Saccharomyces cerevisiae S288C: one gene and its partner. Changing the gene in region 1 together with any one later gene gives a genetic interaction. Each region holds a gene or a part of one and is shown in the gene's direction. Other genes may lie near its edges.

The links. A genetic interaction does not mean that the proteins touch.
Region 2: mutations in MCK1 (region 1) and AIM22 together harm fitness more than expected from each alone (negative genetic interaction), as found in Saccharomyces cerevisiae (4 studies listed by BioGRID, with this or other methods).

The regions. Positions count from the first base shown.
Region 1 is NC_001146.8:55,917-59,420, reverse strand, and holds MCK1 (serine/threonine/tyrosine protein kinase MCK1), read left to right. Parts: upstream 1-1,847; coding exon 1,848-2,975; downstream 2,976-3,504. Other genes in the region: BXI1 (Bxi1p), read left to right, coding at 1-523; mitochondrial 37S ribosomal protein uS11m MRPS18, read right to left, coding at 613-1,266. UniProt on the Saccharomyces cerevisiae protein: May be an autophosphorylating tyrosine kinase, a bifunctional (serine/tyrosine-specific) protein kinase, or a serine kinase that is a substrate for an associated tyrosine kinase.
Region 2 is NC_001142.9:350,832-354,184, forward strand, and holds AIM22 (putative lipoate--protein ligase), read left to right. Parts: upstream 1-1,554; coding exon 1,555-2,784; downstream 2,785-3,353. Other genes in the region: cullin RTT101, read right to left, coding at 1-1,277. UniProt on the Saccharomyces cerevisiae protein: Catalyzes both the ATP-dependent activation of exogenously supplied lipoate to lipoyl-AMP and the transfer of the activated lipoyl onto the lipoyl domains of lipoate-dependent enzymes.

The DNA.
Region 1 (3,504 bases):
CAGCGAAGAGCCGGCACAAGAGCAAAGGCGTCTGCCTTGGTACGTCTTGTCCTCGTACAAGCAAAAGCTCACGCTGCTCTCCATTTTCACTCTTTCCGAGGCTTACTGTCTGTCGCTGGTAACCTTAGCGTACGATAAGGATACAGTACTTTCGGCTCTGCTGATCACCACCATCGTCGTAGTCGGCGTTTCCTTGACCGCACTATCAGAGAGATTCGAGAACGTGCTGAATTCCGCAACGTCAATATACTATTGGTTAAACTGGGGTCTATGGATTATGATCGGAATGGGTCTCACGGCCTTGCTTTTCGGCTGGAATACCCACTCTTCCAAGTTTAATCTGCTTTACGGCTGGCTTGGTGCCATTTTATTTACCGCGTATCTTTTCATCGATACGCAACTGATTTTTAGGAAAGTGTATCCTGATGAAGAAGTTAGATGCGCCATGATGCTTTACCTGGACATCGTCAATTTGTTTTTGTCTATTTTAAGGATTTTGGCCAACTCTAACGACGACAATTAAAAAAAGGGAAAAATCGAATTATTTACACGAATATATATATATTTCTTCTTCTTTTACATAGTTTATAATTCATACATAGTGGGAGCTGATCATAGTCTTCTCATCTTTGGTGATCTTACACCACCAAACTTCAATTTGGTGGCATCGCTGATCTTCACAACCTTTTTCACCACACTGGCCCCTTCCTTACCAACAAGAGCGGAAATAAAAGCAGCTCTGCCCTTCCCAAAGTCGTCCATCACCACTTCGATATCTTTGTTCAGCATGTTCTTTTCCTTAATCAATTCAAACATTCTACCACTGGTTTGAAATGCAGCTTCATACTCCCCTCTTGCTGCCTTCCTAAACCCTAAACAACCTGTAGATAGCGAAATCTTCACTTTCTGGGGTAAGTTCAAATAGTACAGCATTGTATCATTATACGTAAGTCCCTTATTCTTATGAAAGTTCTTGTCCTCCACAACGCTTGAAAATGTCAAATGCGTGTTATTTTTAGTAAACTTGCCATGTAGAATGTACTTAACTACTTCCTCTTTGGGCTTGTAAACCTCACTACTACCATTTGACTTTGTCAAAACTGAGTCAGAGGACGAAGGATACGAGATATTCGTGATATCCTCCTGATTTGAAATATCCTTAAATGAAAAAGGAACTCCTCTATTCGTGCCGGTAGAATTCCATCTTCTGATAGGCCTGACAAACTGCGTCCATCGGCAGCCTTTCCAAACAGGTTGTAACAGCATCACACGTAACTATAACAGTTCACACTGTCACTTTTTCTTTTCAGAAGAACCACTGCTTTCCACCTGATTTACTCTCATTTTGTCTTCCCTCTTTCCCAATTCATCGTTATTATGCCAAACAGTCACGAAGTACGAAACAAACACTCTCCGCTGCTATAGAAAGTTCCAATCTTAGGCTGAATAATGGAATACTAGTAGCTCAGTGATTATCATCATAATTGAAGCTATCATTAAAAAGCATGCAGCCATATTATGCAGGAATTATATGATCACACGTAGCTGTAGTGGCTTTCGAAAGCAGCATTCTTGCTTCCACTCAGTTCGTATGTAATGACAGTTCAGTGACCCACAAACAACACTGAAAAAAGCGACCTTCATATGCGGAAGAGGGCAGGCGTAACCTCCAAGGGAAAACGACATAGATTTCGCAAGTGAGTGCCATTGTGTCGTGTTAGTAGTGTGGGCAGGCCCGTAACGTGTTTATTGATAGGAGTTAAGCCCAAGACTACAGAGTTCTTTGCTTCATCTTTCAATTTTCTTTTTATTTTCCGAAACCCCCACTCCATCACATTCTAGTACATATGTCTACGGAAGAGCAGAATGGTGTTCCTCTGCAAAGGGGATCTGAATTCATTGCAGACGATGTAACCTCGAATAAATCGAACAACACGAGGCGGATGCTGGTGAAAGAGTACAGGAAAATCGGTAGAGGTGCCTTTGGGACTGTTGTACAAGCATATTTAACCCAGGATAAGAAAAACTGGTTGGGCCCCTTTGCAATTAAAAAAGTCCCTGCTCATACCGAGTACAAGTCCAGGGAATTACAGATTCTGAGGATTGCCGACCATCCAAATATCGTTAAATTGCAGTATTTCTTTACTCATTTGTCCCCGCAAGATAATAAAGTTTATCAACACCTTGCCATGGAATGCTTACCAGAAACTCTACAAATCGAGATTAATCGTTATGTGACAAACAAGCTAGAAATGCCATTAAAACATATCAGGCTATACACTTATCAGATTGCCCGCGGGATGCTTTATTTACACGGTCTTGGCGTTTGTCATCGTGATATCAAACCATCCAATGTTCTTGTAGACCCGGAAACCGGTGTCTTGAAAATCTGCGATTTTGGGTCTGCCAAAAAATTGGAACATAACCAGCCTTCAATTAGTTACATCTGTTCAAGATTTTATAGAGCGCCTGAATTGATCATTGGTTGTACCCAATATACCACCCAGATCGATATATGGGGGCTTGGTTGTGTCATGGGCGAGATGCTTATCGGCAAAGCCATATTTCAAGGTCAAGAACCCCTTCTACAGCTAAGGGAAATTGCTAAATTGTTAGGTCCTCCCGATAAAAGATTCATTTTCTTTTCGAATCCGGCCTACGATGGCCCTCTATTTTCCAAACCACTGTTCTCGGGCTCTTCGCAACAGAGGTTTGAGAAGTATTTTGGCCATTCCGGTCCAGATGGTATCGATCTTTTGATGAAAATATTGGTCTACGAACCACAACAAAGACTGTCTCCAAGAAGAATCCTTGCCCATCAGTTCTTTAATGAATTAAGGAATGATGACACTTTCTTACCAAGAGGTTTCACTGAACCAATCAAGCTACCAAATTTGTTTGATTTTAATGATTTTGAGTTACAAATTCTGGGTGAATTTGCTGATAAAATTAAACCTACGAAAGTTGCTGAATAATAATTTTCTATTAATTTGTTCTCTTTCCCCTCGGAAAATTTAATGAACAAAATACTATGATTTTTTTCACCTTTGATCCGCTGTTTATATTTCACTTGGAAAAGAAAAAAAATTTTTTGGAATAAAATATATTCAAATTTCCATTTGATATTATCATACACTTCTTTTATCCAGTCACTCCTTCAATTTCTTCTTTATTTTTTATTTTATGTTCCTAATTTTTTTTTATCTCTTTCCTATTTCCTGTTCTTTTATTAATCTGAAATATTATTATTACTTTAGTGTTAGTTTATAATTTTAATTAGGCCTACGTGGCTTGTAATAAATTGCCTCGCATGTTATCATTACTTATATAAAAGTATTATTGAAATACCGTCGTTATTTTTTGATATTTATGTGAGAAAAAAGTATTACCCGGAGGAGCCGCAAGGTCATCGGTTAAAATTTTTCAAATATATCAATCTCATCTCATCTAGTTAACAGAACCATTTCTTCAGAAAGCAAAATGCTCATAGTTTTCAACAACAGT
Region 2 (3,353 bases), on another chromosome or scaffold:
CTTCCAAGTAAATTACATAAATGGTACTCGATGGAATCGGAGTATATTTTGAGGTGATCTACATTAGCTAGCTGAACTACCTCATCAAATAGCCTTTCAGTATCATGATTGGATCCATATGCTGCCTTTAACTTTTCTGAAACGGCATCATCACAGAATTCCTTGAATTTTGACAGCATATTTTTTGCTTCAAAAGCATTTCTAAACATCAATAAGCTAAAGTGTGTCTCAGTTTTGAAATATCTCTCTTTTTCTTCATCATAAGTGTCCTTCCCAATTTCTATGTATTCGCTAATAGACTTCTTGTTCAACAGTAGATGGCTTATAAATAGGTCATTTGCATCGCTGACCCATTCAGGGGAAAATAAAGATGCTAATAATGCATTCCTCGTCAATAGTACCTTAAAATTCTTGAAAGTTTCCAGCCTCGGCCTTAAATTTGATTCCTCACAGTAATATTGTCTGAGAGTTTTCATATAAAAATCTTTGGGGCTCAAGCCCTCTATACTAAAATTGCAGTTAGACATTATACGGAGCATAGGAACTTCCTTCTCTAACATTGTATTCGTTATTGGAAACATATGAATATAGTGATGAATAGTAGCGCTTACAAGGGTGGAAAATTCCCTTCCAAAATGTGACTTCATACATTCGAAAAGTTTGGAATCATAATACTGAAATATCGTTAAGGTCTCAAATCCTAGTTCTTTTCTTATCATGGGATAATTTACCGGCACATACGATATAATAGGACCAACGGCACCCATTACGTACTGAAATAGCTTGTAAAAAGAGGTCCAATTTTTGGGTATAATTTCATAAGAATAGTCGCATCTGGTCAAAAAGCTAAGGACGTGCGCGTCAATTATTAACTTTGCCAATTCATCACAAAATTCTTGAAAACTCAGCACAATTTGGTGTTGATGTAGCAGCTGAAACTTCTTTTGCTTTTCGTCATTCCCATTAAATTCTGAGTTGTAAGGAATGTATGATTTCCTTTGCGTTAATTCACGGCAATTGTTCAACATCTTAGGCATTAGCTTTCTAAATTTAGCGGCCTTTTCTTTATTACACTCCAATTCTTTCACGTCAGTTTCAGTTATAGTTTCAGCTAAAGTAAGGTGAAAAAACTCGTGCAGCTCAGCAATCATCGTTCGATACCTGGGATTTCGCTCATCGTTAAATTTATTGTATAGTCCTAAAGCGTTGCTTGCACTCGTCTCTCTGCTTATAGACTCGTGGAATCCTTCTCTCTTGGAAACGCTCTCATTTATCATTGTTCCTGTGAACCCGTACGAGAATTTATACCAGTAAAAAAGATTGGTGGGTTTAATATCTTGAGGATTCCTTCAAAGTAGTCTTTTAGTGCAAAGATATCGATGATCTTCATTCGCATTGTTCATATTCATCATTACGCAAAGGATAGCTATGCGTTCCGCTTCGTCATACTTAATCAGGAATATTGAACATCCAAAAATCTCCGAGCTCACGTATGTAGAATTTTTGATGAATACAAAAGAAGAAAACACTAGACTTTTCTTTGATGTTTACATTATGTCTATGATGCTAAGTAATTGGGCACTCTCCCCTCGATATGTGGGACAGCGAAACCTCATACATTGCACCACTTTATTTCACACACTTACACGATGGGCAAAAGACGCAGACGATAAATATCATGATATAAACTCAATGTATGAAAACATGTTTACACCTTCAAATGATAACGTTTCAATTTTGCAGGATGAAGGTAAATCTGATTATGATACGACGAAGGCCAGCTCTATGGAAGAAGATATCAGTGCTTTTAATAAAGACTTGTACAATTTCTATAATATTGGATATGCCAAACAGATCATGTCTGCTTCACAATTGGAAAATATAGTAAAGGCAAAGGGCAGATTTGTTATACAAAGTTTATCCACCAGTCCTTATTATAATTTGGCCCTTGAAAACTATGTTTTCAAGAATACACCAAGAGCCAAAAGAGGTCCCGATAATTGCAGACTGTTATTTTACATCAATGATAGGTGCGCCGTTATAGGCAAAAACCAAAATCTGTGGCAGGAAGTAGATCTTGCTAAGCTGAAGAGTAAGAATTTCGAACTACTTAGAAGATTTTCTGGAGGTGGCACTGTACTGCATGATTTGGGCAATGTTAATTATTCATATTTAACATCAAGGGAGAAATTCGAAACAAAGTTTTTCAACAAAATGATAATTAAGTGGTTAAATTCATTGAATCCCGAACTAAGACTAGATTTGAATGAGAGAGGAGATATTATTCAGGACGGGTTTAAAATTAGTGGCAGTGCTTATAAAATTGCCGGTGGCAAAGCATACCATCATGCAACGATGTTGCTTAATGCGGATTTAGAACAGTTTAGCGGCTTATTAGAACCCTCACTACCGAACAATATGGAATGGGAGTCAAGTGGAGTTCATAGTGTAAAATCAAAAATCAAAAATGTTGGTATAATTACTCCTAATCAGTTCATTGCAGTGGTATCCGAGCGTTTTCAGAAAACATTCAAAGTTGACGGCGAAATACCTATATATTACTGTGACGAGTTTAAATCTATAAACGATGAGATTAAAGATGCTATGAACACCTTACAGAGCGAACAATGGAAATATTTCTCGGGGCCTAAATTTTCAGTGAAGATTAAAGATAAAGGCTTAACAATTAAAGTCGAAAAGGGCATGATTTATGATTGTGATAGAAATGATTTAATCGGCTTGGAATTCAAAGGATTTTTGGAGAATATTGACAGTTACACATAACGTTGATGAATATTTCAATTCACTTGTAAATAACGTAGGTAAATATCAAAATTAAAGTCTTTCACCGGAAACTGATTCAGCATATTTCAGCAGACGCGTCCTAGATTCACAGCAAACTTCAATATAAGCGATACATTAGGAGTGTTCGTACTTTAGATCTATAAGAACTATATTTTGTTACGATTCAGCCGTCTCTAAATGTGAACTAAATATTTATACTGTTATTTGAGAAACCGACAGATAGTACTTAATTTTATCGATCATCTAAGAATAGCATCGGTATTGTGGTGACATTTATTGAATTTCTTCCGCTCCAGAATAAAGTTCCTTTTCACTTCAAAAAACTGCCACCAGTAAAGTTGCACCAGTGGTTTTTGAGCATTTTTTGTCAATGTCGCTTAACCGTTCTTGAACTGTATCCTCTTGACGTCGATAAAATCATTTGTAAAAACCAGGCCAAATCATCATTGAATAATTTACACTGTGTCTTCAATGTCGCCATTTGGACCAATAATTATCAAACTGTTCACAATTCACTCAAAGTCCTTTCAGCAACATTCTTATGAAAC